2 linked regions of the Arabidopsis thaliana genome follow. The protein of the gene in region 2 interacts with the protein of the main gene of each other region in a pairwise test. Each region holds a gene or a part of one and is shown on either strand. Other genes may lie near its edges.

Region 1 (8,850 bases), on a different chromosome or scaffold from region 2:
TCACATTCCCATACAAATTAAATTCTCCTACAATAGTCTTGCACTACTCTAAAATGAACACCTTATCATTATAATTGCAGTGTCACTACGATATAGATGGAATAATTTGAGTATGGATACATATATATATATATATATATATATATATATATATATATATATATTAATAAACAAAAAAACATGGGAAATGAGGACATGAAAGATTGCTATGTTGATAACAGAAACAGTGGGTTTGATTATTGCAGATAACTAAAATTTGTAGTGAAATGGAGTATAAACCTTGACTTGCTTTCTTTGTTCACTTGGATCCCAAGGCAAACAATAAACACAACATAAAAAAAAAGATTGTTTATACATTATCAAGGTATAATTATTAAATATTTGTCTGTTGAAAAACATGCTAAACTGGCCGGCAAGAGCTGCTTTTTCAGAGCCATAAAGCCATCTAATATTCAGTGCAAAACCAATGAAATTCTACTTATGAGATTTTGGCCATTCCACTGAATCTCTCTAGTTATCCATTACTACCAGAAAGTAAATCAAGAAACAAAGAACAAGATATGCTTCATTTCCTCACATGATTAAGAGGGGAAATTTTTGTCTTGACTCCTTCGAAATACTCAGAAAATTGTGGATTTCATTCAAATAAATCCACAAATCATTTCGAATCAAATTTCTGGAATTTCCGAAAGAAATCACTAGAATAGTGAAAGCAAAGACTTTTAGCATCTTATTCAGACAATTTAGTAATTAGGTCTAAACGGGCTACCTTTTTAGTATTTTTCAGATCCATTATTAGTAGTCAAATCTAAACGGGTCAACCTATTATATAGTGTCTTTAAACGGGTTCGGGTCCACAAAATAAGACCGTATCCTTTCAGGCCAGCGGGCTTTATGTCCATTTCAACATCATGTGTAACATGTCCAAGAAGAAAGAGTGTTTGGAGATATTCGGCCTCTGTGGGGAAGCAAAATTTCTATTGACTTTTCTTATAAATCCAATGGGGAAACGGTCCTTGGAATGAATTTGACTCAAGACTCAATACACGCATTGGAGCTCTATCTAGAACTTCTAATGACTTTCCAATACTACTAAAAGAGTTGTGAGAAAGCGATAACCATGTCAATCTTGATAAGCAACCTGGTACTGTTCCTTCCATCTTATTGTAGGAAAGATCAAGGATATAGAGGTTATGTAACTGTGATATAGATTTTGGGATTGTCCCGATGAAATTGTTGTTTGTAAGACTGAACATTTTGCGCTTCGAAAATTTAGATATAGATTCAGGGACTGAGCCATCAAATTTGTTATCGCCAAGGTGTATACCAATAAGCCTAGGCGATGAAGTTGTATTCCCAAACTCTATATGTCCCTTGAACTGGTTCTCCCACTTAAGTTGTTTTCACTAAGGTCTAGGTGCCTAAGATGGGTTAAGTTTCCAAATGAATATGGAACTTGACCTACTAATCTATTATTGAGAAGGTTAAGTTTTGTGAGATGGGAAAGGTTTCCGAATAAAGAAGGAATCTCCCCATAGAGATAGCAAGTTGAAATGGTTAATTTTTGAAGATGTTGGAGTTTAAAAAGACCACTATTTGGTTTCAAGGAGTTGTTGAGAAAGACGTAATTAAGGTAAAGTGAAATCACCTTGCCAGACTTAGCATCGCACTTGACACCCTTCCAATAACAACAATCACTGCTCTTGTTCCATAAACTTAATGATGCAAAATAAGGATCTAGCTTGGATTGATTGATCGGAAACTCGTGTTTGAACTCTTAAAGAGCATCCCTTTGGTCATGGCGGCAATAGTGAAGCGTAGGAGAAGCAAATGTGTGTAGAACAAAGAAAACCAAAAAGAAGGAATACAACGTAACACCAGAAAAGCAATAAGATTGTTGTGGACTCATAATTACTTTCTGTGTGTATGTGTGTGCAGTGTGTGGTAAGTAATAGGTTATGACTATGGCTTCTGAGTATGCCTTTAATAAGAAAAAAGGAAAATAAAAACACTTCTGGAGTTTAGTTCTTGACTTCGAGAACAATCTATCGTGTGAACTCGTCGGACTTCTTATCCTCCTAATTCTTCATGCATCTCTGCTCAGTGATTTGTGCCACTGGTCCATATAGACTACTGATTGACTCATTCAATTCTAAATTATCCACCACATACGTTTCTTTTTGTTTTTGTTTATCTACCACATACTATCTTGACTTGACCTTGTCGATCGAGTTCATTATTTTTTATTTCATTTTTAATATTCTGAAAACTATGTTCCTAAAAACATGAGGTACGCAGTTTCATGAATTCCAAAAAAAAATTGTCGATTAGAAACAGTTATTAAAAAAATGTAAACTGTATGACCTTGCAGTAGTAACAAACTTAGTTTCTAATCTACTAAGAATGGAAGAAATAAAAACTGAGATTGCTGATAAAAGTGTGTGACAAGTTGCTGTTATTATGAGACAATTGTTGTACTCTTGAGCTCTATGTATGTTTACAATAAAATAAAAGTTTATGTCTACATATCTCAAAATCATCACAAAATTTAAAAGGAGGAAACAAAAGAACGAAAAAGAACAAGATTTAAGATACAGCTTACTAAGAAGGTGATTAAAGATCAATCGATTTTAACCGAAGAGTAGATAAGCCTGGTGAACCAAAAGCATGCGTAGAAACCAATTGCACCAGTAAAGACGAAGAATACGTATGAAACTATGAGCATGTACCCAAAGTAGAGCACTGCAGAGACGAGCTTTGTGATCTCAAGTTTGGTGTAGAAGTAAAAGACTGCGTAAAGAAAGAGGTAAACCGCGGAAGAGCCTGATGTTAAGTAAGATCTCCACCACCATTGATAGTCTTCACTACACAGCTGAAAATAACAGAGGACGACCGTGATCTCTGCGCAAGTGATGATCAAAATGATGAAGACGATGAAGAGGAAGCCGAATATGTAGTAGAACTGATGTAGCCATATTGAGGTGAGTATGAAGAAGAGCTCGATGAAGACTGCGCCAAATGGGAGAATGCCTCCAATCAAAATGGAGAAGATTGGGTTCATGTACCAGGCCTGTGTTGGGATCTGCCGCGGGATCTTGTTGGTTTTCACTGGATCTTCCGGTGCAGGTTTTCTGAAACCAATGTAGCCACCGATGAAAACAAGTGGAACAGAGATACCAAACCAGAGGACAACCAAAGCAAACATTGTACCAAATGGGACTGCACCGGATGATTTTTGTCCCCAGATTATCGCATTAAGGACAAAGAAGGCGACAAAGACGGTAGCGGGAAACATGAATGCGGTTTTCAGAGCGTTTCTTTTCCATTCGGTTCCTCTTAACGTCTTGTAGAGGCGTGAAGACGCGTATCCTGCCAATAGTCCCATGAAAACCCAAAGCAAAAGCATAGCCGTCATAAGACCACCACGGTTTGAAGGAGATAAAAAGCCAAGACAAGCAAAGATCATGGTGACAAGAATCATTCCAAAGCATTGAACTCCAGTGCCTGCATAAACACAAAGCAACTCCGGGTTTGTTGGCGGTCTGAAAACATCTCCGTGTACCAATTTCCAACCCGTCTCTTCGAGGGCCTCTTCATGACTCTCTAACTGATTGTAGTTGGAAATATCTCGGTAGAGTGTTCTTAGCATGATCATAGCGACCATACCAGAGAGGAAAAGAACAATCATCATAGAATTAACGATTGAGAACCAATGAATCTGATCATCAGCCATTAGAAGGTAAGTGTCCCACCTAGACGCCCATTTCACCTCACTTTCCTGGAAGTCAACATCATATGTGAAGATAATCTCGTTCCCTTCTTCAACCTCCTGAGGAGACTCAGAGTTAGTGACTGCACGCTTTGTATGCGGATCACAAGTCGTTAACCGAGCCTTTTCATTCCATTGACCTTCATATTCATGTTTGACACTGCATCGAGATAAAATCAGTAGATGTTAGTCGCTTACACAATACAGAGTCAAAGTCCTTAAATCACAAAAAGCTACCTGAACGGCTTGACTTCAAAGCCAACGATTCTTGAAGAATCGGTCTGTATATCTCTGTGATACCTAACAGTGAAGGTCAAGTGGTTGTGGATAAAATACTTCTCCTCCTTTTTCTACAAGAAAATCAAATAAATAAGAACTCTTTCCATTGAAACATATTCAGAAAAGGTGATGATGAGCTCTTACGCCAGCAAAGATTCCCTTGAGACCAACATGGAAACCATGCTGATACACTACAACATTGTCCTGATCTGGCCTTTGCACCGGAACAACTAGGGGAAGGTTGTCCAAAATCCTGCATAAGAAATCAATCTTCCTCATAAAAACAGAAGAAAAACAAAACACATTCAGTCGAAGGCGACAAAATCAATCTCCTCACATGTTAACTCGATATTCATCAGCAATCTTCTCCTTAAACGCCTTTGCGGTTTTCTTATCAAGCTTCACACGACAAACCGCAGCACACATCTGCGATTCCCTCATTTTAAACTGCAACAAAGAAACAAACAGACATTAAAAACAACTCAACAACTACCACTTAACCAAGACAGATAGAGAAAGAACCAAGAAGAAACAAGAACATACCACAAAAGGAGAGTTCTCAATTCGATCACCACGAAGAACTTCACCGAGATTCTCAGCACTATCAACAATATGTTCTGGACGACAATAAGGAAGAGAATAATAGGAATATGGAAGCTGAGTCTTTGTAGATGTCAATTTATTAACTTTCACCATCAATGCATCTCCCTGAAAAACAAAACCATAACTCCAAAGTTTGAACCTTTATAGATAATGACCATTATACATTCTTCTACTCCAAAAGCTAGATTCACACAGAAACAAGTCTAAACAATGGCTAATACATATAGACTAATGAAACATTCTCTTTAAACACAACACTCAGTGGTAACTGAAGATCAAAATTACCCAAATCTCATAAAACAGAGCCATAGATCCAATTTTAACAAGATTACTTGATCGATTGCGTTGGATCTAAATCAGAAAAAAATCTAGACCCAGTGTGAATCAAAGCTCTAAGAAGAAGCTGCATTTGTGAAATACAGATACAGAGATGATTTTATGTGGCTGACCATTTGGAAATCTTGTGGAGCGACGCCGGGAAGGTAAAATCCATGGATATGGACATTGAGGGAGAAGAATAAGACAAGGGTGAAGATCAAAATCCGAACTTTCGCCATGGATTTGCTCGATTTCGTCTTCTTCTTCGGAGAGTGAAATTTCTTAAATGAAGGAGAAGAGAGTGGGAAGAAACATGGCAATTGGACGATTTATGGCCGTTGGATATTTTAGTATCTCGTTTGATTTAATCAACGGTTGAGATTTCCTAAGTTGGAGCTGTCGGTGATTCTTCTTCTTAAGGTAATGAAATATCAAAGTCAACACTTTTTAAGGTAAAAAAATAAAACTTTGAATAGACAATAATTAAAATCAAAGTCCAATTTACGAGAAATCTAATTTTTAAATAAGGAAACAATTTTTTTTTTTTTTTGTTAATTTAAGTAGATTAGATGAAACTTGTAAATGTAGCAAAGTAGAAATGAGTTAGTGTGGAGGATACGAAATAATTATGAAAAAGTATTCAAAGAATAAAAGAAAAAAATGGATTTAAATCAATTAGAAGACAAAATCCATTTGGTAAATGAAGGTGACCTCTTAACTATTCTAGCAGATTATGAAACCTTACACACACCAGCAACCACCTTGACATATAATTAAATGTACATTACCAATAAATACATGTAAGAAAAAAGCACACACACACACAATACAAATCCGCATTAGATAAATGTAAGTCTTTCTTTTACAGACTGTTTTCAAATTGAAAACGGACGGTTTTCTTCTGGAGATAACTAGTCCGGTATAAATGTAAGCATATAATAGTAATCGCGGAAACTAACTTCTATTATTTCTATTCTATTATAAAGTAAAAGCAGTCGTTGGCAACACAACATTAGAATAATTTGAAAAGATAAGAAAAATTAACATAGCATTTGATATGGGCCAACTCTTTGATGATATTGGGATCGGGAACATGGACTTTGGTATTCTGAGGTATAATATAGTTTTCACGAGTAATGTAGGCATTGTCGTGTGCACCACCTCCGAAATAAATGATTACAAAAGTTCAGTATTATAAAAAATGGTCTAGGCGGTCGTTTACACTCTATCTAGGCACTAGACTCTCAGGTAACGCCTAAATAATCGCTTCGATTGTCTAAAATAACATAAATTGCCATATTTTCTATGTTCACTTGTCCATTTATTATCAATTTTAGGGTCTAAATGATTGTTGTGGTTAAGGTGGACAAATTCGTTTGTGTATTTGACCACGTTTTATTTACCATTTCACAAATTACTTCTGTGTGGATTTAAAAAAGAAAACTGATGCGGATCAACCACATACCGTTTTTACATATAAATAGAGTTGGTTGCGACGGTTTGTTGTCTACTTTAAAAATAGTTCGGATTAAACCATTGACGGATTTATCCATCTTAACTGCCGTAACCATTCAAACTTGTGAGATGAGAGAAGTAACAATCAAAAATACCAATTGATTGCTCGTATCTTACTAGAATTACTGACAAATTCTTCTATAAATGCAACGTTTCTCAAAGAATCTCAAGGTTAAGCTTATTATTGACACTTATATAAACTTCTATTTATTTATTTATTTAAGTAAATAATCAAAATTGCATGAGCATGTTGGCTATAAGAGAAAAATTGCATGAGAATGGCATTCTTATAGATTGATGAAATTCGATTGGTCGTGATTGGATATTCTATACAAGAAAAAAATATTGATACGCTGAGGTAGTCTAAATAGATTATAGTGTTTCATAGAACTAAGAAGGAATTATCGAAAGCAGTCTAATACTTTTTTAATCTTTAAATCATTTGAGGTTCGGGGTTCACGACGAGTGCAACGAACATGAAGACAGACTTTTTTTCTTCAATTTCATCAAACTTTTTTTTTCTTTCTGTTTTATATGCTTCTGCTTCATCACCCTTTTTTCTTTGGGTTTTAAATGTTTCTGGTTCATTCACCTTTTTTCTATGTGGCTTAGGTGCTCCTATTTCATCTCTTAGTTTTCTTTCCAGTTTTTTAGGTCCTTTTGGTTCATTGTTAGCTTGTTGTCGTTTAGATTTAGCATTTTTCAACTTAATGACTTTCTGATATTCCAGATTATTAGATCTAAAATACTCGGAGTCAAACGAATCATATCAGTAACAAAATACAAAACTAGTCACTACTTGCGAATCAATCAAACAAAAATAAAACATCTAATCATGGATGTGTATTCACAAATAACTTACCATTACAAGTGTGTAGTTTACAAATGCTCTGTTTTGACTTAAAATCAAAAGTTTCGACGATTTAATTTTTTTTGATGTGGTCATAAAAAGAAACTTGAAGAAATAGAGAATGATTCTTCAGATTTCTTGTTAAGTGATCGTGAAATACTTTGATTAGGGTTTTTGAACTGCACAAAAAATTCTAACAGAGACAAAAGGATTGAAATCCTCTATGAAAAAACATTATGTTTTAAAAGAGTTGATTTTTCTTTTACGGGCAACCCACAATCTGCGACGAGTTTATCCACATGAATTTGTGATCTACGATGGATCTATCCATGAAGCCCACTAATTTATATACAAAAAAACCAACGTCCAATCCGCCTCGACAGAACTAACCCAACAGATTTTAATGCCTAAAACATATTTAAGTTTATTTAAAATTGTTAAGCATTTTTAAATCTATTTCTAATTAAAAGTCACAAAAAACAAAGCTAAAATTCTAACCGTTCACTAATAAGACATTAATCTATGAAATAACCACTAGATTACGAAACATTTTCGAAATTTGTTACCTTTTACAACTATCTATAAATTTGTGTGCCTAAAGCATGGACTTCAGCCGCTTTAGCCAAGGGCAGAGCTGAAATTTTCGTTCATCAATTTACATTCTAGAAAGAAGTCCAGGACACAATAATGGTTGAGTCATGACTCATGAGGTGGCCAGTAGAACTGTTCCCTTCTTTGATGTGTTTGTGTCACGTTGATAACGGGTGGACATTTTATTGGTTTTGTGAGATAAATTGTTGAAAATCGTAGCGAAGCAAGTTGATAGGGTTCAATCATATCTCGTATTATCTACTATATATAAAACATTGTAGAAAAGTAAAATATTTTCATTTAAAATATTATAAAACAGAGAAGAAAACTTATACTATTTGACCAAGGAAAAAAACTACCTACTCACGACACGACCATCACGTTTATAATGTTAATACACAGTTACACCATACATTTTTTCATTGTAGTTCTATACAATAATATATCATCGTTTGATCTAACAAGTATTCGATAGATAGTGGGAACTTTTTTTTCCCTTTTGGCCTTATATTTAAGAACATGGAGCCTGTGTTTCTAAAATTCTATCTAAAAAAGTATATTTTGTATTGATCATATCTGAAATTGCATATATTGTAAAATATTGTGTACAAAAGGATCCGGTCCAAGATTAAACACACAATACTTACTGAGACTAAAAGGGGCTAAACCACAAGAACAAATCCTTGAAATTGCAATGGTTAAACTTACAAAAAATATGTCTCTTATTACCAGATCTTAATATTGTTTACCGAATTTCTGAACTAAACTACATTTTTTGCCCAAACAAACAAAGAACTAAACTATATTTATTCAAGTCAAGTCAAATAATTGCATGCAGGAGACAACGCAAAAAGATGAAAAAACTAAAAATTCAGAGATGAACATCGAGAACACAAATAACATTATCCAAATCTCATTAGGATCC
Region 2 (8,811 bases):
TTCATGTGTCTAACCTTGTGCCTGATTTGTGATCTCTCTTTTGATACGACCATTCTTAAAAAATCATAGGTTTTGATGGAAATGGGTTCGCCGTTCAGCAAGGAAGTTCAGCTTGTATCTTTTCACACAGTCTCTAAAGGATATTGGGGTGAATGTGGACAGCGAGGTGGATACTTTGAGATGACCAACCTCCCTCCAAGGGTCTGTCTTACTCTCTGTTTACTTACTTATGTAATGTGTCAAACATAACATAATCATAATACGATTTCTGAATTTGCAGGTTGTTGAGGAGATATACAAGGTTGCATCAATTGCCCTCAGCCCTAATGTCTCTGCGCAAATCTTTGTAAGTCAAAGGTCTTAAAGTAATGTGGATTTACTTTTCTAGAAATCATTGGTATGTTCTGCGAGTGATTATTACCTGTGCAGATGGGTTTGATGGTTAATCCTCCAAAGCCTGGAGACATTTCATATGACCAGTTCGCCCGTGAAAGGTATATATATAAGCTTACATGCTCGTGATCATCATCCCTGGATTGAATAACAAATCGCCCTTTTGCACATTTCTTTAGCAAGGGGATTCTTGAATCTTTGAGAAGAAGAGCAAGGCTCATGACAGATGGATTCAACAGCTGCAAAAACGTCGTGTGCAATTTCACAGAAGGTAAAACAATAATGAAGCAATTAGCACCTGTGCAGTGTAGAAAATTTGGGAGTATATGTTGTTGAAGTTGATCCTTTAATTCTTGGTGTAAATGTTAGGTGCAATGTATTCGTTTCCTCAAATACGGTTACCAACGGGAGCTCTCCAAGCTGCAAAACAAGCTGGAAAAGTGCCAGACGTTTTCTACTGTCTCAAGCTCTTAGAAGCCACAGGAATCTCCACAGTACCTGGCTCTGGATTTGGACAGAAAGAAGGGTAAAGAATCTGCTACTACTGTTTCTTTCTTGCTCATCTGATCTCTTCTTATGAACTCATTCCACTTGTGGATTTTGACAGTGTGTTCCATCTGAGGACAACAATCCTGCCAGCAGAAGATGAGATGCCGGAGATCATGGATAGCTTCAAGAAGTTCAACGACGAGTTCATGACTCAGTATGATAATAACTTTGGTTATTCGAAAATGTGATTACTTCTTCTTCTGAACGACTATTGTGTTCTGCTACACTCTTTAAAGCTAAATCTCTGTAGTACACTCTTTCTCTTTGCCCTATTCTATAAACCATATCTCTCTCTTTGTGTCTCTTTTTTTTGGGTGTAAACTCTCTCTTGTGTCTCTATTTCTATTTTCAATTGGAAACTGATTAAGATCTTTTCTCAATGAAATGAAGTTTAGGCCATAGATTATTTTTTTTAATCAACGGTGATAGCCTTTTTTTAGTGTGGCAATGTGAAATTTGTAATTATGCTAATTATATTAAAGAAAATAATAATAATCCATGTCCTAGTTTGTTTTTGATTATGAAAAAAAAATCGTCTTTAATATAATTTTATTAATGTGATAAATCCAAAGATATATGTATTTATTCCCTGTCTATTCTTCTTGATACTTTGAATTTCTGTTTTCTATATTTCGTGTAAGTTATGAATTTTGCGGGAAAAGAGGTGCAGAGTAATAACAAGGGTAAGGAAGAAAACATAGAATGAGCAAAGACGGAGAAGAAGACAATCTGTAATGGAGAGAAACTGATCAAGATTCTCTCGCCGGTTAAGTGTCAGGTGACGATGGTTGAGAAGAAGCCAGAGAAAGAAGATGAGGAATAAGAATAAGAAGAGTGCGCAATGCCTAAAGCAGAGGAGTTTAGGATTTCGCAGCCGCTTGAATGTCCACCGGCTCCCAAACCTAAACGCAGAAGAAGCAGAGATTATTCTTCTCTGTAAACTAGCAGTTTTTCTTAATAGATAAATAATTAGTTAAATAATAATTGGTTAATTGTTTTGAGAGACACATGTCTACATTTGTCGCTTATTGATTGGTTGATGTTTTCTTAATAGATAAATAATTAATTAAATAATAAAACTATATAGAAAAATTAATATTTTTATTTGCTAGATTCTCAAATGTGTGTGTCACCGATGAAGGTGCTCTGATGGATTTAGGTATTGATTAATTAGGACATATCTTACTTTGTTTTCATTCTTAAAATTATTGTTTATGTACAAACAAATCAAAAAATTATCTTTAGATTTAGTGACTAACTAGCGCGATGCAATTCAAGTTAAAGATAATCTGATTAAAAACGAAAAATTATATGTTAGTATTTATCTAACATCGACATTCTTCAGAAAAATAACATAAAATTATGTGGTGAGTTAAGGTTTCAAATAGGGGTGTCAAAATGGGTCAAAATTCATGGGCCAACTCAACTCAACTCAACCCATGAACCCTAATGAGTTAAATTTTTTGACTCAAATGAGTTGATGAGTCAAATGAGTTATTGGATCAATTTGTTTGATGAGTCAAATGAGTTGGGTTGTAATGGTTAATGGTTTCAATTGTTTACCCAATTAACCCATCAATTTTTGTAAAATTGAATTAAACCAACTAAAATCTCTAAACCAATATCAATTTAAGCTTAACCAACACATCTAAACCAATTTAATAAAATCAATATTTTTCCAAATTTCTTAAATATACAAGCGATGAAATTGAGAAAAAATAAACTCGTAATTTTTCCACCAAAAAACATAAATCCGTGATTTTCTCGCCAACAAAGTAAACCCGTGATTTTCCCGCCAAAAACGTAAAACCGTGATTTTCCCGCCAAAAACGTAAATCCGTAATTTTCTCGCCAAAAAACAAAACCTGTGATTTTCCCGCCAAAAACGTAAACCCGTAATTTTCCCGCCAACAACGTAAACCCGTGATTTTCCCGACAAAAATGTAAAACCGTGATTTTCCCGCCAAAAACGTAAATCCGTAATTTTCCCGCCAAAAACCAAAACCTGTGATATTCCCGCCAAAAACCAAAACCTGTGATATTCCCGCCAAAAACGTAAACCCGTGATTTTCCCGCCAAAAAACGTAAACCCGTGATTTTCCCGCCAAAAACGTAAACCCGTGATTTTCCCGCCAAAAACGTAAACCCGTAATTTTTCCGCCAAAAACGTAAACTCGTGATTTTCCCGCATAAACGTAAACCCATGATTTTCCCGCCAAAAAACGTAAACCCGTGATTTCCTCGAAAAACTATATGTTAGTATTTATCTAACATCGACATTCTTCGGAAAAATAACATAAAATTATGTGGTGAGTTAAGGTTTCAACTTTCAAATAAGGATGATTTTCTTTTGTTGTGAAAATTATTCAAACATAAAATAGTATTTAAATAATATATTTTAAGAAACTATAATTAGCCTTTGATTAATGAATGTAAATTTTGTACAGTTTTTGGCTCAATTAATGTGCTTTGCAATTTGCACAACCCAATTCTAAGCAAACTACTATTAGAAAAGATTAATTTTATAATAATGCTCAATTGCTCATTGTTGAATGATAGATACCAAATGACTTGAGTTCAGTCAGCTAATTTCAGAAACTAAAATTGGGTGATAAAGTTCACTACAAGTTTGGAGACTACGTAAGAATAGTTAGACCACTTTGTCCTCGTACAATCCACTGCATCTCTAAATTGTGGTACGATACTAGAATTTTGAAAAGCTAAAAATTATAGTACCTAACATAAATTTGTGAAAAAAACAAAAAAAACCTAACATAAATATTGCATACAAATAAAACTCTATATATGCGTTATGCATGCATGTCTAAGAAATTACTATCTCTCTTTTGCTAGTAAGACATGGAAACTCTCAACGTTGATCATGAAGATACTATTTCCTCAGAACAAGAACATCGAGCACATACCAAATCCGACACCGACATGCCTCCGATCTCCGGCGGTAGAGACTTCATTCGACAGTTTGCGGCTGAGTCAAAGAAGTTGTGGTGGCTCGCTGGTCCTGCGATATTCACATCTTTCTGCCAATACTCTCTTGGCGCCGTCACGCAGATCCTCGCCGGACACGTCAACACGCTGGCTTTAGCTGCTGTCTCCATACAGAACTCCGTCATCTCCGGCTTCTCTGTCGGCATTATGGTAATATAATTAGTTACTTTAAGCATACATATCTATGACAAATGTGTAACACATTTTTTAGTTGATCCATTGTTCATAATTTATTCTTTTAAACTTAAAATTGATTTAAGCTTGGGATGGGAAGTGCACTAGCGACGCTTTGTGGGCAAGCGTACGGAGCAGGGCAACTAGAGATGATGGGAATATATCTTCAGAGGTCTTGGATCATCCTTAACTCTTGTGCCCTTCTTCTTTGTCTTTTTTACGTGTTTGCCACTCCACTGTTGAGTCTCCTCGGACAGTCTCCGGAGATCTCTAAAGCAGCCGGGAAATTCTCCCTCTGGATGATTCCTCAGCTCTTTGCTTACGCTGTTAACTTCGCCACCGCCAAGTTCTTGCAGGTAACAACATCAAAATCAGTTTACTTGAGGTAAATTCAAGTTGTTTGGTTATGAGATTGATTAATTATTATAGGCACAAAGCAAAGTGATTGCGATGGCGGTTATAGCAGCGACTGTGCTGTTACAGCACACTCTATTGAGTTGGTTGCTGATGCTGAAACTTAGATGGGGAATGGCCGGAGGAGCCGTTGTATTGAATATGTCGTGGTGGTTAATAGATGTTACTCAAATAGTTTATATTTGTGGTGGTTCTTCTGGCAGAGCTTGGTCAGGGCTCTCTTGGATGGCGTTCAAGAATCTCAGAGGCTTTGCAAGATTGTCTCTTGCCTCTGCAGTCATGGTTTGGTGAGATATCGGAACACTTTGGAGTCAGATCGATACATAAATGGTTCATTGATGGGTACACCTAGTGACTTGCTGTTTGTTGGTTTCAGCCTAGAGGTTTGGTATTTCATGGCGTTGATTCTGTTTGCGGGTTACCTCAAGAACCCTCAAGTCTCTGTAGCTGCTCTTTCGATATGGTGAGTTCTAAGTCCCTGTGAAAGCTTCTGTTTTGGTTAGGAACGGAATTAACGGTTTGGTTATAGCATGAACATATTGGGATGGCCGATCATGGTGGCCTTTGGCTTCAATGCGGCTGTGAGGTATATCACAAAGTCTCTTAACAGAAAAGAAAAAAAAAAGCTTAATGATTGGAAAAAATGATGTGTTATATGTGCAGTGTAAGAGAGTCGAATGAGCTAGGAGCTGAACACCCAAGAAGAGCAAAGTTCTTATTGATAGTGGCTATGATAACTTCTGTATCGATCGGAATTGTGATATCAGTGACTCTCATTGTGTTGCGAGACAAGTATCCAGCAATGTTCTCAGATGATGAAGAAGTGAGAGTACTCGTGAAGCAGCTGACTCCGTTGCTGGCTCTCACCATCGTCATCAACAACATTCAGCCTGTTCTTTCTGGTAGTTTCTCTAACAACACTCAAAAACCCTAGGCTGCTTAAATTTAGCATGATTGTGTATAAGACAAAATGTGTTTTGGTTTTTGATATTGGTACAAAAGGTGTAGCTGTTGGAGCTGGATGGCAAGGCATTGTTGCATATGTGAACATTGGGTGTTACTATCTATGTGGTATACCAATCGGTCTTGTGCTCGGCTACAAGATGGAACTTGGAGTGAAGGTAAGTAAAATCTCGAAATCTAACCTTAATAAAGAACTTGCATACATGATAAGCTTCAAGTTGATATAAACACACACACAACTACAGGGGATATGGACAGGAATGCTAACGGGAACAGTAGTTCAAACATCTGTTCTACTTTTCATTATCTATAGAACCAACTGGAAGAAAGAGGTAAAGAAGCAATTGTCAAATTCTAGTATCAGTTTCAGTGTTTGTGTATTAAAGTTTATGCAAAATGTCCAGGCTTCATTAGCAGAAGCTAGAATAAAAAAATGGGGAGACCAATCAAACAAAAGAGAAGAGATCGATCTCTGTGAAGAAGATGAAAACAATTCAAATGGTGAAAACAATCACAGGAAATGATCATTAAACAAGTCATTGCAGATTCGTAATAAACAAAACAACCATCCCAGAAGAAGAATCAGTTATTCCCAAATTGATCAAGCTAAGCTAAGACTTTGTTGTAAGAATCTAAACACTATTGTGACATTGAGTTTGAGGTTTACCCAGACATAATCTTTGAAACCAGTGAACATAACACGCAATGATCTTGAAGAACATGACAACATTGCAAATGCAGAGATGAATCAGATCACACAAATAATCCCAAAATTTCCAAATAATACGAAGCAAATTATATAATCCAATACCATAGATTAAAAGATCTCTGATTCCAAAATCCAACAAAGCTGAGTTCAATAACATGAAATAAATTAAAAAGAGACTGAATTGAAAAAAAAAACTAAGCAGTGAGAACAACAGCACCACCAGCTTCCTTAATCTTCTTCTCAGCAGTCTTAGAGATAAGCTTAGCCTTCACAACGAAAGGTTTGTTCTCAGGCAAATGACCTTTCCCCAAAACCTTGAAGAAACCATGCTGCGTCACATCGATCAACGGAACATTATCCTTGCTCGATTTCGCCTTCACGTCTTCAGGAACAAGTGACCATAGCTTGTCCAGGTTCACGATTGGGCAAAAGAACTTGTTACGAAGCTTGTGGAAATACCTCATACCAACTTTCCCGAAGTAACCTGGATGGTACTTGTCGAAGAGGATCCTGTGGTGATGCATACCTCCTGCGTTTCCACGACCTCCGGGATGCTTACGGTGCTTACCGATACGTCCATGTCCGGCGCTGACGTGACCTCTCTTCTTTCTGTTCTTCTTCAACGCCGTCGCCATTTTAGTATCAGATCTAGGGTTTTGAACCAGAAATGATCTTAAAGGGTTTTTATATAGAGAGGATTTAGCAGCTAGGGTTTTCGGAGAAACAGAGATAGTGTATTGTCTTTTGGGCTTTTTAATAATTTGGCCCAATTATACCACAGGTTATTTATGTTATTAAATTGGGCTATGAGGCCCATTATATGAATCCCTAATATCAGGTTTAGTTAACCACTTCACTTTTGAGTTTTTCGACGACAGTTGATCGGCGCCGTCCTTGACAGCTTCTCCTTCTTCTTTTTCTTCACTCATAAACCCTAAAGTCTCGCCCGAAAGCTAAACCCTTTAGCTATTTTCAAGCTTCACCGGGAAAGATGCAACACGATGAGGTTATATGGCAGGTCATTAGGCACAAGCACTGTAGTTACATGGCCAAGTATGTATTTTTTATCCTCACTTGTTAGCTTTCAATTTTCATTTGTAGCTCAATTTGTTGATGGGTTTGTTTTGTTCTCTTTTGCTTTTCTAGAATCGAAACTGGAATCTTTTGCAGAAACCAATATAATGTAACAGGAATCTGTAATCGAAGCTCTTGCCCTCTTGCTAATAGCCGATACGCCACTATCCGTGACCATGATGGTAATTTTTAGAAAAGTGTCAATCTTTGAGCTGATTCTGTGTGTTGGAATAGTTAGGATTGGGTGTTGATTTAGTTTACGTAGTAAAGGGCAATTAGAAAGATGTTTCTTTTGAGTTTAGTGTTGTTGTGGTGGTTTCTTACAAATGGATTTTCTTGTGTTGTTGTTGTTTATACAGGAGTGTTTTATTTATATATGAAGACTATTGAGAGAGCTCACATGCCAAATAAATTGTGGGAGAGAGTTAAGCTGCCTGTAAACTATGAGAAGGCTCTTGAAATGATTGACAAACACTTGGTGAGCTTGAGATTTATTGCCACAGTTTATTTCTTTACTCTTCTTCTTCATTAGCAATGTCAATGTCTTATGATCTGGGAGGGTTTTAATTATTTTCTTTCTTACGTGTGGCAGTTGTACTGGCCCAAGTTGTTGCAGCATAAGGTTAAACAAAGACTGACTAAAATGACTCAGATGCGTATTCGTATGAGGAAACTTGCTCTGAAAACAAGGTCTTGTCCTCTTCTGGTTTTTGTTTGTGGAGTTTGGTATCTTGTTTGATTTACATGTGTCTAATTCTTTTCTTGTTCTGATTAATTATTTGGTACTTTTGTTTTTGAATAACAGGGAGGTAGTAGTCACTACGCCTAGGAGGCAAATAAAGAGGGAGTCGAGAAGAGAGGAAAAGGCTATAAAAGCAGCTCAGTTGGATAAGGTCACGATTTGTTGTTTTTGGGTTTTGATTTTTACTTGCTTCACTCTAGTTCTGAGGTTTTCATGATAGTTTTGATTCTTTTTTTACAGGCTATTGAAACCGAGTTGATGGAACGTTTGAAGAAAGGCATTTACCCTACTGAAATATACAATTTATCTGACAGTGTGTTTAACAAACTGCTTGATAGAGAAATCGAAACCAACGACGAAGTTGAGAAAGAAGAGGAGGAGGTACTTTTGTAAAAGCCGTGTAATTTTGGTAGTCCATCAAATCTAGATGCAACATCTTTCTACTGATCTTCATTCATTAACGTATATCTCAGGAAGGAGTGATTGAATATGTTGAAGGCGATGATGAACTCGAAGCAGAGGAAGAAGAAGACATGGAAGACTTCTCTGGTCTTCCATCTAAGGAGTCTTACCTTGAAGGTGATGATCATGGTAATATTCATCTCCTTCCTGTTTCTTACAATTTCCACTCAATAATTGAATCCATGTATTTTGAGAAACTATTTTAACCCGATCGTGAACTCTCTACAGACTCAGATGACGAGGATGACGATGATGCTGAAGAACAAGTTGTGATTCATAAAAAGGGAAGAGCTTTAAAGAAGTCTGATGATAATGGAAAAGCAAA

What was found. The genes of interacting proteins can lie anywhere in the genome.
Region 1: the proteins of AT1G23300 (region 2) and AT2G24170 interact in a protein complementation assay, tested with the Arabidopsis thaliana proteins (one large-scale study listed by BioGRID).

The regions. Positions count from the first base shown.
Region 1 is NC_003071.7:10,271,687-10,280,536, forward strand, and holds AT2G24170 (Endomembrane protein 70 protein family), read right to left. Parts: upstream 5,581-8,850; 5' UTR 5,503-5,580; intron 5,436-5,502; 5' UTR 5,209-5,435; coding exon 5,101-5,208; intron 4,757-5,100; coding exon 4,592-4,756; intron 4,496-4,591; coding exon 4,386-4,495; intron 4,302-4,385; coding exon 4,193-4,301; intron 4,120-4,192; coding exon 4,007-4,119; intron 3,930-4,006; coding exon 2,621-3,929; 3' UTR 2,413-2,620; downstream 1-2,412.
Region 2 is NC_003070.9:8,261,039-8,269,849, reverse strand, and holds AT1G23300 (MATE efflux family protein), read left to right. Parts: upstream 1-3,801; coding exon 3,802-4,098; intron 4,099-4,208; coding exon 4,209-4,478; intron 4,479-4,551; coding exon 4,552-4,823; intron 4,824-4,912; coding exon 4,913-4,999; intron 5,000-5,065; coding exon 5,066-5,122; intron 5,123-5,199; coding exon 5,200-5,438; intron 5,439-5,538; coding exon 5,539-5,657; intron 5,658-5,744; coding exon 5,745-5,831; intron 5,832-5,903; coding exon 5,904-6,023; 3' UTR 6,024-6,402; coding exon of another isoform or gene 6,403-6,843; 3' UTR 6,844-6,911; downstream 6,912-8,811. Other genes in the region: GGT1 (glutamate:glyoxylate aminotransferase), read left to right, coding at 70-201, 281-346, 430-494, 573-664, 763-919, 1,001-1,130; RPL27AB (Ribosomal protein L18e/L15 superfamily protein), read right to left, coding at 6,403-6,843; AT1G23280 (MAK16 protein-like protein), read left to right, coding at 7,200-7,261, 7,355-7,464, 7,642-7,760, 7,875-7,972, 8,088-8,175, 8,265-8,405, 8,498-8,615, 8,715-8,811.